Linked DNA regions of Schizosaccharomyces pombe. The gene in region 1 interacts genetically with each later gene. Each region holds a gene or a part of one and is shown on either strand. Other genes may lie near its edges. The genes, in order: clg1, cek1, mis4 and ppk18.

Region 1 (4,129 bases):
TTCCTTCCTCCTCCTTTCACCCCACTATTCCCCTCAACCACTCCACTCTTCCTCGCTCTTTTTTCTTATTCTCTCTCTCTCTCTTTCATTATCCCATTTAACGATTTCCTCCATTTCCCTCCTTCCACTCTCCACTCAACAAGGTTTGTCTCCCTCTCATGTGCTCCGTTAATGCTCATTCTGGCTCCGACGGCTTTTTGCCTATATACATCAACAAACTTTGCTTGCGTTTTCTCCTTCCTTCCTCCCCATTTCCTCTCTTCCTTTTATTTTTTAATTTCACGCGTTTTCTTCTCTACACTCTTAATTGTTCTTTTGCGCGCCCTTGATTTCGCGCCTTCTTCTTTTCTAGCATCGTTTGTTTTTGTTTTGGCTTTGCTTTGTTATTTTGTTTCCCTTTCCTTTTACTGTGCCTTCACTCTCCTCTTTTAATTTCGTTTTCTCTCTCTCATTTTCCTGAGTATTCATGCTGTCATTGGTTTCCTAATTTTTCATTGGTTTGTTTGTTTACGTTTTCTTCTTTCGCTGCTACAATTGTATTTATGCGCGCATCTTTTTATTTATTTACTCAAGTACATATAGTTATATATATATATATATATATAAAGCATCTGCCTTGCTTTCTTTCTACGGCTTCCCCCCCAACTGCCAATACACTCTTCACTCAGTGCTTTGGTTAGCCCTTATTCAAAAAAGTTTGCGTACTGTATACTGTCTTGAGACTTGAACAACTTTTTTTTTTTTTTTTTTTTTTTTTTCAGCTTACATTTTGTAGTCTGTTTTTCTTTTTCTTTTACTTTTTAATCCTTTTTTTTTTCTTTTTCTCTCTCTCTCTCTCTCTCTGTTTTTTCATTCATCTAATCGCTCATCCCTACTTATCCTTTTATAATTACAAACCCGATTTCTTTACTCGCTCTTCATCTCCCCTTTTTTTTCAGTTTTTGTTGTTTACTGTTATTTTTTACTTTTTTTTTCGTTTCACTCCAAATTGTCTCGAAAAGCTAATTGTTGAATTTTTTTTTCTCAACTTGCTGAAGTAAACATTACCTCCCTTTTTAATCTTTGATTTCTATTTATACATCTTTTCTTATACGACAAAGACATCCACCAGTTGATTTTCTCTTGTCTCTTTAATTTCTTTTTTCCGTCTACTTTTCGTCTATCATACTCAGTTCTTGTTTATTCTCTCCTCTTTAATTGCTCCTTCCATTTCATTTCACTTTCTACTCGATTTTTACTTCTCAAGTTGTTTCTTTATTTAGATAACTTTCAAATTCTCCTCTTTACATACTTATTGTTTGTCTTGCTACGTTTAACTTATTTTTCTTTGATTTTTTTCCTGCTTGTCCCATTGTTTGTTTACCTCGCTCCCAATTTTCCTCACCGGCAATTGCTAATTAAAATCCATAAAGTTATCTAACCGATCTATTACGTTAGATATCTTAATTTGGGTTTAACTTTCTTGCTGAATAATCTTCAACGCTACGCTATTTTTCAGTGCTTAACAAAGTGAAATTTTTTATTCCTAAAAAATTCTCTTTCCTAAGTTGCAAGCATTTTCAACTGCGTTACCAGCTTTTCAGAACCTGCGCACAACCAACCACCGTAAAATTTAGTTTGGAGGGTTCAATCCTATTTTTTTCCTTCTATATTAGCAGTTTTTTTGCAGAAGTCGAGCTTTTTACTAAGCCTCGTCTATTTGCCAGCGAAACAAGCATTCCTTGGTCGGGTTTTGCTAGAAGTGAGTGTTAATAAGTCTTTTTCCTGTCTCTTGGGTAAATTTCTTATTGTTGAGCATTCTTTATCTCTTTTTCATTTTTTTTTATCGTTCTTCCTTTGTATTCTTCTTTCCTTGAAAGGAGTACTCAAGAAATCGATTACAAAACTCGAAAAAGACTTGATTAGGTAGAATAGCAAAGGAGTTAAAAATTTTTTTTTTAATTCTTCAATTTGCTTTCCTTTTCGAAATTCTTCAGCAATGTCGTTTCCTTATCAGCACACTTCACGTTCTCAAGTTCAGCCTCCTTTGGCTGCCCCCGGCTTGAGTATGTTTGCTCCTGTTTCGTCCAGCAATAGTGCAAACTCTGCTTCTTCGGTTGCTGCTTTGTTGAGTCATGCTCCTATGTATGGTCTTGGCCAGCGTCGTCCGTCCTTCTTACCTGGCGTTTCTGTGCCCGATACGCTTTCGGTAAGGTCGGGCTTCTCCATCCCTTCCTCCTCTCATCATCCTTCCGCTGTTCCTTCCCTTCTGTCGCAGCACCGTTTACAGCAACCTCAACCACGTCTCTACCCTTCTGCGCCTCTAAACTATTACTGGCCATCTTATCAGTCGGTTCCATCTGCCGCACCTCCACCACCCTCCCAGCAACGCTATATGCCTGACTCTGCCGTTGCCTATAATCCTAACCAAGATCAATTTGGCAATTCGGTGAATGTATCAGCTGCATGTAACAACGTTTCCGCCCCTTTGATTGCTAACAATTGTGCTCCTTCCTTTTATCAGTCTCGACATCCCGTAGCAGATGTGCCTGTAACCAACAATACCGCCACTACTACCTCCGAGACTGATAATACAATCCCAGGTAATCTTAACATGCCTTCGGTTGCTAACGTTCAACAACGTATTTCTCCTGTCTGCAAAACTAACATGGAGGATCAGGAAGAAACCGTTTATACCGGAGGTGTTGCTGCTAAACTGGATTACAAGATGGATCAAATGGTGGAATACTTGTCTATCATGACTTGTAAGTTGTATGCTCGTTTCCTGAATAATGCTCAAATGCATTCTCTTGCTAACTCTTTACCTGGTCTTGTGTTTTCTTTCCGTAAGGTCGTTACACAAATTTTGACGTCTACGCGTTTACCTCGTGCCTCTTGCTTGCTTGCCTTGTCATACCTTTCCGATCGTCTTGACGCCGCATCTCAAACGACTGATTTTGTAAACCAGTGGACTAAGGAGTCGTTATTCTTCCAAATATGTGCTCTTTTAACGACCGCCTTGATTTTGGCTAATAAGTTTTTGGATGACAATACGTTTACCAATCAATCCTGGTCGCAAGTTACTGGTTTCCGTACTGCCTTGTTGAACAGCTTTGAACAAGACTGGCTAGCTAGCATGTCCTGGAATCTTAGTCCCGGTCCTCGTGGTCAAAAGGCATGGGAGTGGTGGAGTGCTTCTTATTCTTTGTTTACTTCCTCAAACGCTACATACTCTGGTGAACAAAAAACTTATAGCCCTACTACGTTGAGCACCAACGCACCACCATCGCCCTCTTCTGGACGTTCTTGCTCTAATTGCAACTACTATTATCCCTATACACCCGTGGGATATTATCCAGTGTACAATCGCTATGCAATGACTTAGTGATCGTGCTTACTTTCTGCGGGTGTTGTTGCTTGACGGGGTTTGTTTTTCGTTTCCTTGCGCTTATAAACACTTTACGTGTTTTTGTTATTCTTGTAACTTTTTTCTCTTTTCATATTGTATGACGGGAACTTTTGTTTAACCCGTCATATTGTATTCTCTAATCATCTCCGTGATGAATTCGGCTCTCTTGAAATTAATTTGCCGTTTGATCTTGCTTTTCTACTTTCTTATTTTTTCAAATTTTAACAGAGAAAAAAAAAATTTCCCAAAAAAAATTGAAAAGTAGTATACCGAAAAAAAGGAACCAACTTCTTATCAGTATCTGTTTTATTTTTGTCGTTGGACTTTTATTTTGCTTTCTCGTGTGGCTTTGTTATCTATTGGAATATCTTTTGATGCAATTCTGATTTGTTAATACTGCTTGATGTATATACATCCGCTACTACTATAGGGATCGCGGATTTCCTTTTTAAAGTTCGCCTTCAAAAATTAGTAGTCTACTTATACAACTAGCTTCATCAAGAAATACATTGTGAATAGATGAAAAGGCCCATGGATGCTTTGAGTTTATTTTTCTGTTTCATTAGCAAAGATTTTACTTCGGGCATCGTTTTTGTCCTTATTTTGTTTATTTTTTCTCCTTTTGATACTTAAATGAGAAACCTTTGCTTGCTGTTTTCTAAGGATTAAGCATAAAATTTTTTATTGCGATTTTCCAACTCCCAAACTGTTTGTTATGATTACCTAGTTTTATTGCGCATT
Region 2 (7,058 bases), on another chromosome or scaffold:
GGTATCTAGCAATTCAATGTTAATGTTCTTTTCATCCTGGATACTATGAAATGCTCGACTCATGAGTAGAGTAAGCATGTTTTGGAACTTGAGCAACCATTTGTGCAAATGCGTAGCATCGGAATCATCCGGGAGAACAGAGACATTGCTTTTTGAGAGAGATTTTAATAGCTAACAAAGAATATCTGGTTAGTAACAATCCGCATACTTTTAAAACATTTCCATCCATTATTACGTACATTGCGGAAGTTCACATTCCAAAGTTGGTTTTGGCTATCAGGATCCAAAAACGGAAACGTTAAAATAAATCTTTTAAAGATGAAGCGTAAAACGGGAATTTGGGATTTTTCATAGGGGATCACGGATTTTCCTTTTTCCACAAATGGACTACCGAGATGATCCAAATTGGTGGGTTCGCTCACGAAGTTCAATTCGTCTGCGATCAAAAGAGAGAAAAGTTCCTTCTTCAAATAGTGTCTTTTTAAAGCATCTATCTCTTCTGGAGATGCTGTATCCATGTCGTAAATATCAATTATCCGCTACACGGAATGCTGTAAGAGGGGAGTACCAGTTCGTAAATAATATATGTAATATTTATTTCACCTAGGTCTATACCGACATTTAAGGGACACTCGTTAAAATATTTTTTGACTAGTATACGTTAAAAAGTATAAGATGTGAAGGCTAAGTTAAAATAAGCGAAAGTACGCTAATTAGGTTTATGGTTTCTACACTACCACTCCTTATGTTAAAATGTTAAAAAGGTGCAGAAATCGAAAAAGGTAGGCAAAAGGAAACATTCATTGATGAGAAAACATTCCTTAATAAATAAATTTAATTATGTGATTTTTTGTATACTGCTTGCTCCATTTTTTTTTATATAACTTTGCGGGAGAATGGACCGCTTTCCGTATTCTTTGTTTACACCTCTGAATGAGCAAGGAAATAGTTTAAGATTTCTGTTCTCTGAAAAATTTAGAAACTTTCAAAAAAAAAAAAAAGAAGTAAAATAATAGGAAGTCCAAATTCATATATCTTGTTATATTAGACTTTTTAAAAGAGTAACACAAACTGAATAAAAAATAAACAACATATCATTTACTTTTGTAAACAAGAGATCAAGCGATTCCTAAAAAACGGAAATATCATATTCCAATTAATAATTATTTTTAATTGTAACTACTGTGCTTTTTTATTTTTATTTTTTAAAAACTCAAGACAAGTCCGTCTGCTTTCACTCGATTGAAAAATCAATGATATAGAGATCAGCTGCAATCGCAAAATATTTCCTTTTAAATAGCTTATGTATTCCCACAAGTTGAAATTCTTCTATTATACTTTTCTGTACTTCCCAAGCGATGATGGTATTATTTATAAGTCTGTGTTTTCTAGACATAATAAAAAAAAAGCGCAGCCAATCTAACACGCTTCTGCATAGCAATTGATCCTCTTTCAAACAAAGTGATATCTTTAAACGTTTGCGTGCTAATTTTGCAACCATTTTTTTTTTATAAATGTTGATGTTTACCCCATGTATTTACCCATTTTTTGTGCCCATACATCTATAAATTCCATAGGCATCATACTGTCTATTTATAATCCAGCAGCTAAAACAATTGTTCTTAAATTGTTTATTTTACTTCACATTGTCGATTCAACTTGGCTACTTTACAGCACTCCACCCTAATTCATTTCATTGCTATGAAATCTTCGCCCCGAATACTTATCTAGTATTATACATGCTGTACAAGCATAACTTTATGTTCTGAAGCAGAGAAAAAATTTTTTATTTGTTGACGAATTATGCGGCCAGACTAATGAACCACAATACTAATACTAAGTTGTAAGCCACTTAACTCCTAACCACCACCAAGTACTAAAAATCGTTCTTTTTTTCTAGCTTGATTGTATAGATACTGAGTGGAAATTCTATCATTATTAAAAGAATTGTTTTTGTTTGTTTTAGAATTATCCAGCTGGGTATTTCATACTCTTCGTTTTTCTTTCCTTTGTTTTTTCAGTGACTCAGTTATTTATAGCGCGTTTATTTGTTTTATATAAAAAGTTGTCGAATTAGCATACTTACTGCTCATACTTCTAATGATCCTATCCCTCTATTGAATTTACTGTATGCTGGAGACTCCGTCAGTTGTATATGAAGCATATAAAAAACGAACGCGAAGAAGTCTTCTTGGAAGATGACCAAGCTCAACATTCCCAGGCAGAGCTTCTCAGCTCAAAAGATGAGAACCTTCAACCTTCCATTCCTTTATCTCCCGTTGCATTCGAGCTTGACTTTTCCGGAAACTTTCAATTTATTAGCGATAACTCATCCGAACTTTTGGATATACCCAAAGACAAGATCATTGGGCATTCTGTAGCAGAAGTCCTTGGTACCGATGGATACAATGCGTTTATGAGAGCCGTTAACTGTCTTTTGAAGGATGACTCTCATAGCTATCATGTTCGGTTCCAACATTCAATTAACGCTAATCATGCCAATCAAAACTATTACACCGCTAAAGGAGATCTTCCAAGCGATGAAAAAATTACAAAACCTTTTGATGCTATTGGAATTCTCATTCGTCATCCTGGGTCCGCAATTCCCGCACACACGATGTGGGTTGTGAACCCAGCTACCAATTCCCTTGGTAGTGTATCTCCTCTTGTAACTAAATTATTGGATGTCATCGGTTTCGGTGCCAGTCTTTTAGACAAATATTTATGCGACTTAAGGACTTCCTATCACAAGCATAACAGCTTAGATGCGTTACCACTTCCGACCCCAGAGTTTTGCCAAATATGTGAACGTGAAATACAATCATGGTTTTTCGAGTTGCACTCCAAGTTTTGTCTTAGCACAAGCACCTATGAATCTGTTGTACAGGCTGCTCAGGATTCCTTGCTTTATTTCCGGAGTACCTTACTGGAAATTCAGGAAGGAATGCAGAAAGATTCAAGTCTTGTTCCCGTATACAAAAATGAACCGCTTATTGTTGATGCGGATGATTATTTTTTTACCGATGAGAATAAACAAACATTATCACTATGTTCATTCTTAAGTCAGGTTATGTACTACTTGGAAGTGGCTATCGACATTACTATTCCTCCAGTGAAAATCATTGTGAATTTTGATAAAGTGGATTCTCTTCGTGTTCAGTCTCCGCGGTCAGAAAAAGCTACTATCGAGCTTGATAATTATAACCCGTCCTTAGAAAATTGCTCATCCGCAGTGATTGCTCTCTGGGAGGACATAAAGACAGCAGTTGATACTAAAATTACTGGAGTTTTGCGTCTTCGAAATGCAATCTATTACTCTGAACGTATTCGTTTGGAAATTGACCATCATGTTCAAGAAATTATTGATGATGTCGTATCGAATTTGGTAACAAATCATTCCTCTACTTCTTTAGGACACTTGGAATCTAAATTAGCGCCTTCAATTACCTTTCCTGATGCCTGCGATGCACTCGAGGCAGAGGAATGCATTACTCGACCCGGGAGCGCTACAAATACACCACAATCTGATAGAAGCCTTGATATCAATGATCTTTCAAGATCCTCTTCTTATTCAAGGCATCTTAGCCATGTTTCTCTTAGTAATCCAGATTTTGCAATTGGTTCGCCTATGAGTCAAGATAGTTCAAATTATTCTTCTCCGTTACATAGAAGAAAAGCATCTGATTCCAATTTCTCCGATCCTCGTTTTGATGATTTAAAGTATCTTTCTCCAAATTCGAGTCCAAGATTTGTGGCTTCTGATGGTCCGAATCGCCCAGCATCTAACGGTCGTTCGTCTTTGTTTTCTCGTGGAAGGGCCAGCAACCTTGGAGATGTGGGACTACGTCTACCATCACCATCACCTCGTATACATACGATTGTACCCAACTCTGCCCCTGAGCATCCTTCTATCAATGACTACAAAATATTGAAGCCGATTAGCAAAGGTGCGTTTGGCTCTGTGTATCTGGCTCAGAAAAGAACTACTGGTGATTATTTTGCTATTAAAATATTAAAAAAATCGAATATGATAGCAAAGAATCAAGTTATCAATGTTAGAGCTGAACGTGCTATTCTCATGTCTCAAGGCGAATCACCATTTGTTGCCAAGTTGTATTACACCTTTCAATCAAAAGACTACCTTTATTTAGTTATGGAATATCTTAACGGCGGAGACTGTGGTTCACTTCTGAAAACCATGGGTGTATTAGATTTGGATTGGATTCGAACTTATATAGCTGAAACTGTTCTTTGTCTAGGTGATCTTCATGATCGTGGAATAATTCATCGTGATATCAAACCTGAAAACCTACTCATATCACAGAACGGACATTTAAAGCTCACAGATTTCGGTTTGAGTCGGGTCGGTTATATGAAAAGACACAGGAGAAAACAGAGTTCTTCAATTCCTGTACTTGACTTGAGAGATCGCTCTAGTGCTATATCTGATTTATCACTTAGTACTGCTTCATCGGTACTAGAAGCACAGTCTTTGATAACACCAGAGCGTCCCAAACGGCCTTCATTAAATGAAAAGCTTCTTTCTTTAGATGGTACTAGTATTCGACTTGCTGGACAAAGTTTCAATTACGAGAACAGCGCTGAGGATTCTCCCACTGCAACAAATACTCCTACTTCTCAGGTAGACGAATCCAACATTTTCCGTAGCACAGATTCGCCTCGAGTTCAACCGTTTTTTGAAAATAAAGATCCCTCTAAGCGATTTATTGGTACACCTGATTATATAGCACCCGAAGTTATCCTTGGAAATCCTGGTATTAAAGCGAGTGATTGGTGGTCCTTGGGTTGCGTTGTTTTTGAGTTTTTATTTGGATACCCCCCGTTTAACGCGGAAACGCCTGACCAAGTCTTTCAAAATATTCTTGCTAGGCGCATCAATTGGCCTGCCGAAGTTTTTACTGCTGAAAGTAGTGTTGCTTTGGATTTGATTGATCGCCTTCTATGTATGAATCCGGCAAATAGGCTTGGTGCCAACGGAGTAGAGGAGATAAAAGCACATCCTTTTTTCAAGTCTGTTAACTGGGATACTATCTTAGAAGAGGACCCTCCATTTGTACCAAAACCTTTTTCTCCTGAAGACACTGTGTATTTTGATTCTAGGGGACTTAAAGGATTTGATTTCAGTGAATATTACAATCAACCTACGGTGACAGAAGCACAAAAATTGGAAGAAGAAAGACCTGCATCCTCTATACCCCAGCATGTGTCTGGTAATCGTAAAGGTCGTTTACGAAGCAATACGATTAGTACTCCTGAATTTGGAAGTTTTACATATCGAAACTTGGATTTTCTTAATAAAGCTAACCGGAATACTATTCAAAAACTTAGAAAGGAGCATATGGCTGTTAAATCAGCAAAGACTTCTGTTGATGACACCTTTAGTCAGTACATGAGTAGGTTTAAAGCCAAACTTTCAACTTCTCAAAGTGTAGGTCCTGTTAAGTCTTCGCGTCGAGCTTCAATGGCTGACTATGAGGCATCCACCACGACAAGAGTGCAAGATATTACTACAGATTCAATTGATTCAATTGATGATTTTGATTCTCTGAAAGAAGGTCGGATGCTTTCATTTTTTGATAATTTAGCGTTAGAAGATCATAAGGGTGTTTCAAGCACTATGTCAGCATCACAATCGCAATCAAGCATGCACACGGCGTTACCAGACGTTACAGAGGGTACCTCATCAGATGAACATACTACAATTCAGAAGGGCAGGATTGACAACTTACAAGCTCAGAGTTTAACTCATAAGCGAAATGCCATTTCTTATCCAGGGTTATTTCAGCTTGACCGTTTACAAATGATAATTCCTAAGGATGAAATTGAACTTGCGGAGATCTTGAAAAAAATTTTTCCAAAGTTAACGCTTGTTCTAATAGATGATCCATGGAGCATTCTTAAGAAGCTTTTGCAGAACGAGCAATTTAACGTCGTATTCTTACATTTTGGAAATGATAAAGTATCTTCTTCCCGATTAATGTATTCAGTGCGAACCAGTGCTACTATAAATTCAAGGGTGCCGTTTGTATACATTTGCGAGGACGAGACTTGCATTCCGACTGATTTACAATCTGATGGAGTTTTGTTGAAACCCATTACTTGTGAGAACATTGAAAGCTGTCTACGAAAGTTAGATGTTTGGCACTCTTGAATTGAATCTTACATACTAAATGCCAGATCAGCTTCATATACTGTTTCTTTCCTTTCATTTTATAACTTCCCATGCACATTCTTTAAAAAATTAACTATTTTTTCTTTTGACCAATGTGGCATTTTTATCCTTCTTTAAGTATTTATTTCAGTGCGTTGCATTCCTTAACTTGAACCCGCTGTTTATTCATGGACATTTGCATTTTTTATAAGTTTTCACACGTGAAGAACATTATGAAAATATTTGTATACTAATTTACCATAACCGTTGTTTTACTTTATACGGATCTCGTTTTGTTTACCCTCATTTCTTTAGTTTTTTTTTACTTATTTAAATCTACAAATAAAATATATCATTCGGAAATAACAAGCTCAAACTGTTTGATAAATACAATACTATAATAAAGTATCTTCTTTTTTATACATATATATATATATATTGATGATTTTCGGGTACTGAGAATGCAAACGAATAAGGCAGTAAACCATGTTTCACTATTCCATACTTCATTTATTTTTTTCAGGTCTCATAAAAAGGATAGTGCACCACAGTGTGGCAAATAATATTACTAAAATAAAGAATTTCTTGTGCCAATGACAAATGCTGGGTTTTACTTTTAGCAAGCATTGTAATTTTATGGCAGAATGGCAAAGTTGTCTGTAAATGACTTGAATGACTTCTTAAGTCCTGGAGCTGTTTGCATAAAGCCTGCCCAAGTTAAAAAGCAGGAATCCAAGGTAAGATGCATTGGAAGAGCAGCAAGTATAACATCTGTCACATCTCTATTTTTTTTGTTCAACCAACTAACATGATAGAATGACATTCGTATAGACGGGGATGCTTACTATGAAGTAACTAAGGATACTGGAGAGACCTCCGAACTTGG
Region 3 (7,641 bases), on another chromosome or scaffold:
AATTCCACGAACTGCTGATGATGATGAAGCAGTGAGTACAAAATCCTGACCCTGAACTGCCAGTAGTGATTCCATGGCTTTTGATGGTGGTTTGGTAAAGGTAAAGTGTTGTGCTGAGCTGAGACGTTTAGTACGCTAACGAGATGCCAATGGAAAACTATAGGCGAAATCATTCACTCAATCGTTTAAATGTCTGTGTTTTAGAAATAGCTTTTTTTCTTTTTTTTTTAAAGGTTACCGCCGTTGTAGTGTAATCGTAGTAGCACGTTTATCTCTTCGTGCTTACTCATGTACTTTGAAAATTCAATACTCTGACAACATATAAATATCCTGATTTGAATATTACATTCAAAAAATAAAAATTTGGGACGATACAAGTTCCTTTACTATTCTAAAAATGATTGTTTCTTATTATTAATAGTTAAAGAACTAGCAGTGTCATTTAACAGTTATGTCTTAACATCTAATTAAAAGGATCTCAAGCTGTTTACTTGTTACTTATTTAAACAATAAATGAAAAGAATGTCTTATTGGTATTAAATAATGCATAAATGAAATTTGGAGCGAGTTGTATTCATGGTTCAGAACTTTTAAATGTTGCTGCCTATTATTGTGAGTAAAAATCAAATTGGATAACCTGTTTTTTCATAAAAAAATATTGATAACCCATATAAAATAAATATTTTTGAAATATACTGCTTGAGAGCTTTTTGATTTTTTTTTTAATCCCTTTTTTCATTTAGACAACTGTAAGCTGTTCCCCTTCAACTTGATCCTCGCCAGAAAGGATATTTTCTTCTTCAAACAATTTTATCACCTAAAACAGTCAGCAATTTGGTTAAGGAACTTTAACTTACCAACTTAGAAACAATATCTGGCTTAGCATCAGAAGTAATTAAATCCACATAACCTCTATTCAAAAGAGTTAGAGGCTTTTTCTCACGTATAGGTCGAGATGAGTCTGAAATTGAAAATGCGTATTTTATATATCTCTTAAGATATATCAAATTGCACAAGTTGATACCTGCAAGGATTTTAAAACGTTCATGATCTAGTTTTTTCATCCACCCAGTAATAGTAGGGCCTATCGTCGCGAGCACCGAATCAACTGTTGAAATGATCATTAACGGTTCCTCTATTGACACGTATGGAATTCCTGCCAGACATACACAGCAAAAGCTTACAAATGAAACTTTTTCTTCTGTAAAGCTGGGTAAATCAATCCCGTCGAGTTTAAGAGGTTTTAATATTTGCATTATTAATTTTTTCCTAGATTTTGAACTTTTATCAGCGGAGACAATGGTATAGGCACTTTGGAACGGCGAAAATTCGCCTAACTTAAATGTTTGATATTCCTCCGTTTTTTGAAGGGAAAATATTAAATCTGCAGATTGAGCATATAAGCCATCTATCAAAGATTCATGTCTTCGGTGCAATTCAGTGTGAAGCAAAATTGCTACTTCTCTGGTTTCTTTAATTGCATTGGATTCGAGTGCTATTATGGTTGAGAAACACTAATTTAATTAGTAATCAAAAAGTAAAAAGTGGCATACCATGCGTGGGTTTACTAGTCCTTGATGAATAATACATTTGAGAATTTCAATTCCGAGCATTGAATACCTTAAATTTTTTGAAAAGCAAGAGTCAAGAATACAGGGAAGGAAATGCTGCATTAAAGATGCACTGACTCTGCATTAAATTAGTGATAGTTTGTTTATAAAATACATACCCTTCAATCCATTGTTTATCCTTAGTTCCTTTAAGCATATCTCGATCAACTGATTTGTTGGACTGAACGTTTTGCTTACCCTTTAAACTTAGCTTTTGATCTGCTTCAAAGATAAGATCCTCATCCGCGGCCAAAAGCTCAAGAAAAGATTTAAACAAAACAGATACTTCGTTAACATTATTTTCCGCAATTATCATATCCAAAGTTGATAACATAAGAGGAGATATAAACAAAGATGTTTCTCTTAAACATATTCTGCTCATGTTATCAATTATGTGAATTCTCAGCTGACCTTTCGCATCTTTTAGAAGTTTCTGAAAATAACCTAATAGTATAACGTAAGCATCATCACACTCAGGACTAATAAAATCAAGTGAATGTTTCCAATCATCATTTATTCTATTGAGATCCCCATATCTAGAAAAAAGCCCAATGAGGTCTATTAAGCGAACCATTTTTTGAAAATTGTTTTCTGAGTGTCGTGCCTCCTCTAAAGATTTAAGACACGAAACCACAATTTTCTTTAACCTTTCATAATCATTAAGTCTTGTAAATAGGCTGCAAAGACAAGGAACTATTTCCATTAACGTTGCAGTACCGGCTTTAGTAAGCCTTTGCAGTAACACAGATTCAAGGCTCCGTAGGAAGCTTTCAGAAATTTCTTTTTGAAATGGTAAAACCTGTCTAAAAATAGCTACTACATAGTAAAGAAAACGTTGCTCTTCAATAGTTGAAGCAGATCGTAAATAGGGTTTTAAGAGGTGTAGATAAGACAAGTCAAAGAGGAAGGGAAAAGCGCGTGAAAAAACAAACAATGTACTCATTATTTCGTATAAAATTCCCTTTGTTGATTCATCAACTTGATCTTCGGTTACAACTTCTATTAGCTGATTGAAAAGACAAGAGAGAAGAAGTCGAATTTGAGTGTGTAGTGTACTCAAATTGATCTCTTCCTTAGAAGTCAACATGGTTTTCAGAGACGTTACCAACAGGACGTGTCTTTCGGTTGATGGTTCAGCACATAGTTTTAAAATAGGAAAATACTGAACTCTTAACTTCTGCTTTTCTAAGAAAGTTAATTGCTCATAGCCTTTTTGACAATCTAATTCATTGCTTGCGGGTGAAAACCAAAGTTTTTCTAAAACCTCAAGGCTTAATTCACTGATTGTTTCCTCTTCATCATTACTCCGGGTTAAAAGTTTTGAAGCTATGTCAACACGGATATTTAAATCTTCGGTAGCTTCATAAACCTCACATAGTTGCTTTATAGCGCGTTTACGAACGATTGTTGAAGGATCCGAAATTCCAGAAATTATACAACCATATATTTGAGGAATTGTCTCCCGATATGCCATGATATATGTGCCAAGTAAGTCTAACACAGTATCTCGAACTATCGCAGACTGATCATTCGATTTTGATATTATCTGAGCCAAAACTTCTGGATGTGTTCTTAATATAGAAGGTATAGTTTTCATTTGATTGATGATTCGAAGGCATTTAGTTCGAAGACTAGCTTGAGGACTATCGAGAAAGCCTATAATGAGCGAGACAAAAAACTTTAAATTTAAAAACAAAGAAGAATGATAAAGGGATATAATGAAAATATCTTCGTCATTTTCATCTGCTTTAAATGGTGAAGGACCTTGAAACCCCTCTTGAGACTTTTGCATATTCTTATCGATACAATTATCAATAATTTTTAAAGCTTCGGAGTCATTGCATACTTTTCTAAGCTGTAAGAGAAATGAAAACCATTTATTGTAGTTATAAGGGAGTATGTTCTGTAAGTTAGTATATAATAAACAAGCAATTAACTTTCACTTACTTCCAGAGATATGTCACCTTTGCATAAAAAGTAAAAATGGTTAAAGCTAACTTGAGAAAGTTCATTTAATCTAGTAATTGAGGGAATGAACGATATTATATCATTGAAATTCGTAGGAGCTGGGATATTGTGCTTCTCGAAAAGGGAAAGATCAAACAATGCCAAAACCTTGTTAACGATGAGACTTATAAGATCCAGCGCAGCATTCTTTGAAGAAACTGCTTGTTTGTCGTTAGTCACAGTCATAACTAAATTCATTGCAAATTGCCGAATAATTGTTTCGGTTCCGCACCATTCAGGCAAAGAAAGCATGTTTAATAAATCTTCTAAAAGGATTTTGGTTAAAATTGCAAATGAGTTGTCACTCTCCGTTTTATTCTGTTTTAAAGAACGACTAAGCAAATAAGCAACAATATGATTAGCTATCCGGTATTCTTCATGTCGAGACTTGGATAGTATTGATTCGACCTACACGTTAGAAATTGATTTTTATTTAGTGTTCATTACATACTGTTTTCAGATGTTCTGTTAAGTTACCTGAGTGTAAAGCTTCAGTGGATTTGCTCTCCGATTGTACAATTTCTGAGTCGAATAAGTTTTGAATGGAGCATGACTGAATTAAACGTACAAATAGGGTTGAATAGTATTGTATGGATTTACCGTTAGAGAGTCTATAGGTCCTTGAGACCGAACGAGCAGTGGGCAAGTGAGAAAAATTTGTAAGTGATTCTTCAATGATAAAATCTCGCTGATAAGGATAAAGACGAAATAAATATTGTAACGTTTGAAATAAAGGAGCTTTAAGAAAATCGAAGGATGAGCTGTTACAGTTAGGAAGTTTAGTTTTGAAGGAATTGTCGAGTGTAGAGACTTTGGGAAATAAATATACAATGCGTATGACCACAGCTTCCGACAAGGGAATTTCATGGGCAACTTTAGATAAGATGTTTAATACATTTGCGACTTTTTGTAACAAAACTGATAGATGTTGAATTTCAGAAGTCCTAGCATCGGAAGTTTTTGATTGAACGATGTTATCAATCGCTTCAGGAACTGTGTACTCAAATATGGAATGTAAGATATTAAGTAAATGAAGAATTGATTCTTCATTTTGAAGCTTTTTAAAGGAGGGGACCAGAAATATTATAAAAAGAACAAGAGCAGTGGTCTTTAAAATAAAGTCTAAATTCGGAAATTGTGTGAGGCTGTCATGAAGATTAATTATACTGTAACAAGCGACAGGAAGCTCTTTTAACTCTTTCTCAAGGATTTGTTTTACAAGTATTATACTCCCTTCTTCCAGCAATTTGTCACAAGCTCCCAAACGACTAAGCTTGGTTAATGCCATATATAGCTTTTCAATTGCGTGCGATGAAATGTGTTTTCCATCATCGTCTTCTCGTTTAATAAAGAGAGAATTCGATGAAAAATCTTCCGAATTCTCAGCTTCTATAACTTGAGAAATTAGTAATCTGGTATCTTGCAACTGCTTTAACAAAACGTCCTGCAACCGCTGGATCTTTGAGGGAGATTCACGAGGCGAATAAGTGTCTTCCATAAGTCGCTTTTTTGGGGTAGTAATATCATCTTTAGATTTTTTAGGGCTACATAATTGAACAGCGTTAAATACGCGAGAACATGATGGACTTCGAGGACTTGAAGACGGAGTTAAGAAGCCATTGTCGGAAGATGAACGGTTTGTATTTATAGAAGAAGCATCAGGTTTCTCCTTGGGTTCACACATCAACATACTTGGCTGAATCAGAGATTTTGTAAAATCATTTAATTCACTTAACGAGTCACTGTTACACACCTTTTGGTCTAGGACCGGACTGGCATTCACCCTCCTTTATATTTGTCAGATAAAAAACCTCAAAAAATTTAACTTACATTGCGGGCATTGCAGGTTCCGTTATCATAGCGCTAAGAGCATTTTTATAAAAATTAAAGGTTTCAGAATCGTTAACGAATGTTGCGCCAGGATTTAGCATATCCACATATCTTTGCATAATACTTGATTCTTCGGAGTTAAGTTGCAATGGCTCATTTTGAAATTTAGAAGATGGATATAATACGTTTTGTAAACCTATGTAAATTAATAGACGCGTTCAAACTGTATGCATACCATTTTCCAATGGGATTGATGATGCTAATGGTGTGTATTGAAGCCCTTTAATAATTCGATTAGAGGAGTTAACTTTTTTAAAGGTTTCAGGTGTCATCTCGAAAAGCATCAAAACATTGCAAAGCTAAGAAAGGGAAGTATTTATCATTAAATTCATTCATCTAAAAACAAAGAAACGTCGGTATATATAAAGCGTAAACAAGTTTAAGGCAATAGACCGAAACGGGAAAATGCAATTAAGATGTAAGCTACGCAGTTTGGTATCTGATTTAAGGATACGTAGAACTGCGGTGAGTTTTCCTTGTGATCTATTATATTACAATACACAGGTTGTATAAGTAGCAACTGAGTATAGGTATTGTATTAACTGGGTTATAATGTTACCTATCACTAATATAGCTCATAACTGAACTGAGGAACGAGTTCAGCAGTAGCTCTATTTATAGTATTCAGATAATATAGATCTTAATAGATTATCATTAAGATTAATTTCCATATCGTATCATAAATGGTACGATATATAATTAGAACATGTGACATATAGTGATACGCAACGTAGTGTATCATAGCGTAATGTAGTATTGCTGACATAAGAAACGTTCGTACATTTCGGATATTGGTGATTACGTATTTCTACAGTGGAACACTATTTAGAATCGGTCTCTTGGTTAGGAAAACGTGCCAAGGTCATTAAATATTTGGTTTTCTCCTAATAATTTGCGGTCTTGTTTTAAAACATACTAAATATTTTTGTTGCTTTAATCTAAGTTTTATCTATTACTATTCAAACAGAAGACAATGTCTTCATGTTATACTGTGATAGAACAGCATTGAGAAATTCTTTTTTCGGCTTTATAAGGTAACACTTCAATTATATTAATTCTTATATTTTTAATGACTGTGCTGAGATTTCATATTTTATTAAAAAATGCCCACATATCGCTTTAATTATCTACGTTTCAACAAACTATGTGTTTCCTTTTTTCGAAGCAAATTTGACAAACGACCTTTCGCTTCTCAAAAGTTTCCTGAAAATTTAGTTCCTGATAATTCAAGTAATGACGCTAATTCGCAACCAGAGGAAGTCTCAAGCAAAAAACCATGGTATGTGGATGAAAAACATAATCTATTTCCTAAAAAAGCGCATTTCGATGCGGTTGCGCTGCCACCTATTCCAAAAGGTGCTCCAAACTTTTTAGCTGATGTGTTAAACCTTCTTAAAAAGAAGTATTATGCCACTGATCTCAGTTTTGTTAACTCACCCGCCGATTCTTTTTGGTGTGATTCAGATCTTATTTTACTAGCTTCTTGCAACTGTGGATCTGAAGTTGTATCCGCTACTAATGGCTTACTTCGCCTTTTAAAACAAAAAAACGTTGGACCGGTGAACGTAGATGGCCTTACTAGTGCATCTCGGAGAAAAATTTTAGAACGGAGAATGAGGAAACGTTCCAATTTGTCAAACCGACAATTAAACACGTCTGAAAATAATTGGACATGTCTCAGTATCGAAAACTTCGGCATAAGCATTCATGTAATTACAAAAAATTTTAGGGAATACTATAAACTGGACAATATTGAACATGTTAAGGATGAAACTTTGTATTCTGATCTCGAACATGGCAAACAATCTAGGGTCTCACTCACTAGTAAATCTACACCTGATAATTCTTTACCTCCAAATTTTATTAATAACCACTCGAACGTATTTCGGAGAAGTTTCCATACTTGTAACTTTTCTTTAAAAAGTGCCGCATCCCTTTATTGCGATACCCAGGATATCTTGTTAAACGTCAATTCACAAAATCTGACGAGTACTTTGGAAAAATATAAGAAAATGCATCTCCAAAATCCTAATAATTTTTCTTTGGATTTTACTCTTTCAATTTTTGAGCGACTTCGAAAAGATTCTTCTTTGCAACTGACTACAAAGGATATCAATACGCTTTTCAGTACTAT
Region 4 (6,994 bases), on another chromosome or scaffold:
TTATTGCGCTTTATATGGTCGCTTAGGTGATTGGTATGCGATGAAAATTTAACTTGTGGTTTGATGAAATATATCTGATGGTTTGTTGTTTGTATGATCGTGGTGACCGCTGAATAATATAAACTTCTCTATGTTCATTCGAATTATCGATTAGCTAAACTGAGCTCAAGGCTTTTTCATGTGCTTTTTTTGTTCTCGTTCACAGCGGTTATCGGTTATTTATTTTTTACGAGCATAACTGCATCTCAAGAATCTTTTATATTTCTGCCCGCTATGTTAGTAAAGCAGAGTATCTAAGAAACCTGACACTGTTATGGTCGTCTATTTTTTTGAATTCGTGATTCTTTAACATCTCGTAATTTCATTTCGAAATATAATGAATCTTTAGCTTATAAGAAAAGTCATGTGATTAATGTTTTCAAGTAAGTTGTAGCTAAGAATAACTAATATTGTATTGTGTAAGTTGTTAGATTATACAGTAATATTGCACTATTATGAATACGACAATGATGGAGACGTTAATTTCAAGTTGTTAAAGAAGAAGTTGGTGTAAGTTTTCCATGTGCTTGAATTATCGAGCAATTCCTAATTTAACCGTTTTCCACACCACTGTTCTTCCCATGCTAACCTAAAACTAATAAACAGTTGCCAGGGATGATAATATATTTTTTATTGCAAATTAGTATCAGCCGATGCGTTTTCTCTAAAAATGGGTTTTACCATGTATGCAATAAAATGATCAACTTGTGATGAGTGAGTTATTCTCCCTACCAAAATTTTCGTTACGATATGGAAAATTTAGAAAAAACATAGTAAAGGAAATCGTTTTGCTTTTCGAATGAATTTCGGGGGTTCAACTCTAAAATGGAACTTTTCTTTGTGGTAGTGTACACGCTATACACTCTTTTAGTCAACTGTCAAGTAATCGAATTTGGAAATATGATCTTAACATAGAGTATAATGTATTCTTTTAAGATATACGGAAATTTATTAGAACGCTGTGCATGAGAGCGTGGGAGTGTAAAATCCGGTACAGAAAACGGTTTCTCTGATGACCCATCCATTACCAATTTTATTCAGCAGGTACTAATGAAAAGCGACAGAAATTATGATTTTGGAAAAGAATAGCAGTTATGACCTACTTATCTATTAACAAATTGGTAACTCCTTATGCATCAATAATACATATGCATTCCTTACCAACACAGCTGTGAGCATATTGAATGATGGGGTGTCTAAACAAAGCAACTCGAATATCCTATTTTCAACACTATGAATGGGCGCATTCATCCCTATTCCAACAGATCTGTAAACATTAGCCTGTGAACAAATTAGTAGTGCGAATCGGAGGAATAGTTGGGCTGCAAGGAGGGTATCCCTGCTTTAAAGAGGGATTGAAGAAGAACAGGTTTTAATCCTAACTGCCAAAATATCAATCCTCCATCTATAATTGGTACTAAGCGGATTAAGCGCATACGTGCATGCGCGCAGTCGCACTTTTGTTTGAGACCTTTCCGCGCAAAATCATGTTACAGAAATGAAAGCAGAATAACACATCATGGAAGACATTTCCAAAAAAAATCCGCATTTCTACAGCTTGCATTACATTGTCTCGCTTTCCTTTCAATCACCAACCTTTTTTCATCTTGCAATGAAAATTCATAAACCGAAGTATAGCGATCAACGATATATAATTATATAATTATTGCCATCGAAATCGTTATTTAAGACATCGGCTCGCGATCTCTCCCCTTAGTGAATCCTGATCAAGGGATAAGTAAGCACAGGTATCAATCGTCCCAGGGTAACAATGATTAGCCTCTACGCACTGCTCACTCATATAAATATTGACACAGTCATCAAGAGCCACCCACGTTCATAAATTGGGTGTTTGATTAGAATATCAATTGGTTACCGTATTGTCTATGTTTTTTTAGTCGATAGATTGGGTTTTATGAAATAACGAAACGCTAATTGTATTCGAATGGTTTTACTTGTCGCACATTAGGATCAAAATCTGAATGGAGTTATAAAGTTAATGGTAATGCAAGAACGCAATTCCAACGAGGATAACAAAGTAAATCACGGAATAGACAACATTTATGTCTTGGAGTTAGATTTAGACGGATCTGTGCTGTTTGCAAGTACAAACTTCTCACAGATTACCGGGTAAGTGCAGTGGAATAGCGGGCGATGTTACGAAATTTCTCTGTGTTGTTGGCAGAAGGATACCATTGCTTGCTAGAATATTTATATTGTACATTTAATTTGTATCTTTCTTTTAACGATTCGGTTGGTATGACTTTGCAGATTACGCAAAAATAGCCATTGAATAAGGCTTCAATTGCCTTGATCTGTAAGTCATACGTATAATACTTAAATCTTCTATTTGCTGCCGACCTGTTTTAGTTCTTTTAAGCTGGATTGGCCAAGCTATGGCTGATACTCCTTGGGTCGCCTCTGTCCTTCAACTTTTGAAATCTTGCTCTTTTTCAATTTATTGCTAGGTCTTTTACTAACCAAGTTGCATAGAATTAGTTCGTTAGAACTTACTGGCAAACCTGCAGCTCTTCTGTCATCCGACCAGGAGATATTCAACGCAGCCATTGAACAGCTTCTTGACGATGACTCCCACAGTGTTAAAATTCATACCGTGATTTCGAAGCTGCCCTCCTTGGAGGAAAATGTCTTTGTTCAGGATGAGGAAATGGAGCTGCAATCAAAGTCTGTCGAATTGGATTGCGTTGGTGTCCTCATTCGTGATCCCTTAACCAGCCGACCCTCTCATACATTATGGGTTTTGCAACCTTTGAAGCCCACGCGAATCACTCGTCAGGAAATAGGCCAGCAACTCACAGAAACTCTAGGTTTTGGAGCTCAGTTACTGGCCCAACATCTTGAAAAGCTTCAAACCGTTCCTTCCACCGATAGTCTTCCTCCCTTTGAAACAGTACTTTGCAGGGTTTGCGATCATGAAATTCAAAATTGGTACTTTGAGCATCATACTGAACTTTGTCTTCTCATTCACCATGCTGAAGCACGTGCTCAAGAAGCAAATGACCTTCTTAACGAACAAAGAAATGCTTTACAAAGTTTGTTGGATTCTTTGGACGATCAGATAGAACCAGATGTATCATATTTGGGAGTTCCTCTCGCCGCCGTCCTTCCTTCCTCTATTACTTCCTCCGCGAAGTCGAATTCCCGGTCATCGTTGTCCCAAAAAATTAGAAATTACATTAGTAACATGCTGTTTGATGCCATAAGTTATACAGATAGTTGTTTAGCCATCCATTTACCTTTCATACCAGAATCCACTACCAGGGAAGACAATCAACCATTTAGTGAAATACGCTTATTATCACCAGCTAGTGAGGTTTTCAATGCAAAAACTCTTTCATGGTGCTTACCACATATTGATGACCCTGGGTTGCAATTGATGTTTGAAAACACGGATGCCTTAGTAAAAAAAAAGCTTGATGCCATTAATCGTCTCAGCAACATCATCTATTATTCTGAGCGTGTTCGTTGTGAAATTGAAGATCAAGTGCAGACCATTATTGAACAATCCATTCAAGTTGATGGTTATGACGAACCTCTCAGTACTACGACTCCTACACTTATTGAACCAATTCAAGAAACCCTTATGACACAATCTCCTATTATTGAATGCGAACCATTTAATACAGTTAAGCCTTCTGTTTCTCCTGAGGAAGTGCACGATATTTCACAGTTCAACCATAGGAATGATCCGCCGATTACTGCTGCTAGTGTTGATTCATCCAATTCTTTTTCAGTCCACCGTTCCTCTACAAATCACAGTAGTACTAATAGTGGATCTCCCAACCTAAGCCGTCGCAACAACCTTGCAATCCCCATTGCTTCTAGAAGAAAATCTGTGAGTGCAGTTAATACTTTATATGGAGTTGGTTCTTCCTATACCTCTGAAAGTTTTCCCTTTAGTAAACTTACTGTCCCAGTTGAGCGTAATTCTTTCCGTGAAACAGAGTCACCAAAACCATTTTTGAGTCGCCAGATTGGCATATCGACACTGTCATCCAACATTAGCAGTGGTAAAGGGACTCCTTCTATTCAAGATTACGAAATTATAAAGCCTATTAGTAAAGGAACCTTCGGCACTGTTTACCTTTCCCGTAAAAATACCACTGGGGAGATTTACGCCATTAAGGTCTTAAGAAAAGTTGACATGATTTCAAAAAATCAGGTCGCTAATGTGAAAGCTGAAAGGGCTGTGCTTATGGCGCAAGAAGAATCTGCATTTGTTGCAAAATTGTATTATGCCTTTCAAAGTAGGGATTACCTCTATCTTGTTATGGAATTCATGAATGGAGGGGATTGTGCATCCCTATTAAAATCGTTGTACACTATACCGGAATCGTGGGCAAAAATTTACATTGCTGAAGTTGCATTAGGTCTTGAGCATTTACATAGGCTTGGTATAATTCATCGTGACATTAAACCGGACAATATCCTTATGAGTATTACTGGACATCTGAAATTAGCGGATTTCGGCTTAAGTCAGTTAGGTTTAACTACACGGCAATTACGTTTACAAAAGGGTAAAAATAATATTTTGTCACCACCCAGCTTTCAATCTCCTACTGCGTTGGGTGATCCCGGTGATAATATTGCCAGTTCTCCCTTGATTTTACCTACCAGTGTTAGTGCTTTTTCGTATGATGAAAAATCGCAAAAGCAAAAAACAGAGTTGGCTACATTTACTACGTATAAAGAGGATGATACCACTACTACTACTCGTACGAGCATAGATAGCATCTCTAGTAAATATTTAGAAAGTCCAGTTGACTCTCAGAAAGTCAATCGGACTCCTAATTTACAATCGGTTCCTTTTTTTAGACAACCTGATGCTCCTAAAAGATTCGTTGGTACTCCTGACTATTTAGCACCTGAAACTCTTCGCGGAAGTACACAGGATGATATGGTTGATTGGTGGGCTCTTGGCTGTGTGTTGTTTGAGTTTCTGTTTGGTTATCCACCTTTTCACGCAGAGACCCCGGAAAAGGTATTTGAAAATATTTTGGCTAATAACATTGCATGGCCCGATTTAGAAATGTATCCTTGTTCCGAGGAAGCATTAGACTTGATTAATGGGTTTCTACAGCCAAATCCGGAGAGACGACTTGGGTTTTCGGATATTAATGAAATCAAAGAACATCCTTTTTTTAATGGGATTAATTGGGATGACATTTTTTCACACGAGGCTCCTTTTATACCTGCACCAGAAACCCCACTTGATACTGCATATTTTGATAGTCGTGGAGCTGGGGCTGCAGAATCTAACATGAGCTCATCTGTAAATAGCGGAGAGGAAGTTTCTAAGGATAATAATGTTTCTCAGGAAAGAGGTTCACAATTCCTTCGTTCATCTCATGGTCGCAGTCGTGAGAGAAGTACGTCAGCTCGTAGAAGCCGCCGATTTAGCGAAGCTAACTCAGAGTTTGACGAGTTTGGTCCCTTTTCTTATAAAAATTTAAGCGTTTTGGAAAGAGCTAATCGAAATGCTATTGAAAAAATAAGATCAGAAATAGCTGGCAAATTACATATATCCCCTCCGGATCCACACATTGGATACACCCCTGGTTCCGATATGCCTTCTGCAAAACTTTATGATCAGCAACTAACTTTAAGTCCCTCTTTAATGACAAACCAGGGCTCTAATTTTTCTTCCACTGATTCAACACCTAGGAAGTCCATTAACAGTTCTGATGTTGAATCTCGTTCTAAAACTGATGGCCCGAAGTCAATGCACGATTTGATTAAGCAACTGCATATGCGAAAGCATAGCTCTCATACGAATCAATCAACTGGTTCTTCTGAAAGTGATGATCTTTTTAATCTTGATCTTCCGATTTCGAATTTGGAAACTTCATATCCGTTTAAAATTGAGGAGGGTCAAGCATCTCCTTTGTCTTCTCCACTCTCAAAGACCCCTCCTTTTTTCTCTTCTTCAGTCCCCTTAAAGGCTTTGATATGTGTCAGCAAGCTGAATTTGTTTTCAGAGCTGATCAAGTTACTAAAATCATACAAGTTTCAAGTATCTATTGTTACCGATGAGGACAAAATGTTAAGAACTTTAATGGCTGATGAGAAGTTTTCGATCATATTTCTGCAATTAGATTTAACTCGTGTTTCTGGTGTTTCTATATTAAAGATTGTTCGATCAAGTAATTGTGCTAATCGAAATACGCCAGCTATAGCTTTGACACCTACCAGAATCGATATTAATGCTGCTATTCCTCGCATGTTTGATGGACGGTTATACTTGCCTATCAACGCGTTCCTTTTACGTGGTTATATAGCCCGGCTTTGCAATAAATGAGTTCAAACGTTTGTTAATCGTGATTGCTCATTTTTTGTTGTTACCATACTCTCTTTAATTTTTTCCTTTTTGTTTCTCGAATGTATAATAATTATAATAGTAATAATATTAATAACACTAATTTTTTTGAAAAAAGTTTACTTTTGTCAACTTACAAGACTTTTTTGGATTTATAACTTTTATTTTTACTGAGGTTTTTTCTACAGGATATGTAACAGTTAAAGTAATGAAAAAATAATAAGCCCAAAATAGCTCATCTTCTCCTGAACGACATTTCAATCCTATAAAGACTAACCTGAAACCGGTTTAGCAAATATTATAGAACCAGGTAACGTGAAAGTACAACAGTACATATCCTAGTTGTTTAGTTAGTTACATTAAAAGTGCTATATAAAGAAGGATATTACCTTGTTGGGAGCAACTTTTCGGACATAATAAAAGTCAACTTCTTCAGGAGAAAAACGATACCCCAACGAAGCGTATATCCGCTAAAAAAACTTGGTTAGTAAATTTTCATTTAAAGTAAGCATTTCATACATTTATAAGATCTTCCTCAGGATCGGGAAATCTACAAAAGCAGTGAACATGAACTTTTGGAAGAGAGCGGTCTTTAAACAAGTACTCCAATCCATAATA

What was found.
Region 2: of clg1 (region 1) and cek1, changing one suppresses a phenotype caused by changing the other (phenotypic suppression), as found in Schizosaccharomyces pombe (one study listed by BioGRID).
Region 3: of clg1 (region 1) and mis4, a mutation in one rescues a mutant of the other (synthetic rescue), as found in Schizosaccharomyces pombe (one study listed by BioGRID).
Region 4: of clg1 (region 1) and ppk18, changing one suppresses a phenotype caused by changing the other (phenotypic suppression), as found in Schizosaccharomyces pombe (one study listed by BioGRID).

The regions. Positions count from the first base shown.
Region 1 is NC_003423.3:1,745,276-1,749,404, reverse strand, and holds clg1 (cyclin Clg1), read left to right. Parts: upstream 1-1,588; 5' UTR 1,589-1,978; coding exon 1,979-3,364; 3' UTR 3,365-3,628; downstream 3,629-4,129.
Region 2 is NC_003421.2:1,747,747-1,754,804, reverse strand, and holds cek1 (serine/threonine protein kinase Cek1), read left to right. Parts: upstream 1-1,861; 5' UTR 1,862-2,155; coding exon 2,156-6,172; 3' UTR 6,173-6,543; downstream 6,544-7,058. Other genes in the region: SPOM_SPCC1450.12 (uncharacterized protein), read right to left, coding at 1-171, 240-518; nar1 (iron hydrogenase), read left to right, coding at 6,817-6,909, 6,988-7,058. UniProt on the Schizosaccharomyces pombe protein: May facilitate the progression of anaphase through direct or indirect interaction with the cut8 protein.
Region 3 is NC_003424.3:391,099-398,739, forward strand, and holds mis4 (adherin Mis4), read right to left. Parts: upstream 5,842-7,641; 5' UTR 5,792-5,841; coding exon 5,683-5,791; exon of another isoform or gene 5,644-5,682; coding exon 5,448-5,643; intron 5,405-5,447; coding exon 4,069-5,404; intron 4,026-4,068; coding exon 3,558-4,025; intron 3,514-3,557; coding exon 1,730-3,513; exon of another isoform or gene 1,690-1,729; coding exon 1,554-1,689; exon of another isoform or gene 1,515-1,553; coding exon 858-1,514; exon of another isoform or gene 818-857; coding exon 740-817; 3' UTR 530-739; downstream 1-529. Other genes in the region: pre1 (proteasome core particle subunit beta 4), read right to left, coding at 1-75; ATP synthase complex assembly protein atp25, read left to right, coding at 6,611-7,641. UniProt on the Schizosaccharomyces pombe protein: Plays a structural role in chromatin. Chromatid cohesion molecule required for equal sister chromatid separation in anaphase. May form a stable link between chromatids in S phase that is split rather than removed in anaphase.
Region 4 is NC_003424.3:3,975,734-3,982,727, reverse strand, and holds ppk18 (serine/threonine protein kinase Ppk18), read left to right. Parts: upstream 1-1,872; 5' UTR 1,873-2,038; coding exon 2,039-2,169; exon of another isoform or gene 2,170-2,214; intron 2,215-2,532; coding exon 2,533-6,358; 3' UTR 6,359-6,476; downstream 6,477-6,994. Other genes in the region: SPOM_SPAPB18E9.04C (uncharacterized protein), read left to right, coding at 1-26; tRNA (guanine) methyltransferase Trm5, read right to left, coding at 6,649-6,714, 6,766-6,846, 6,896-6,994.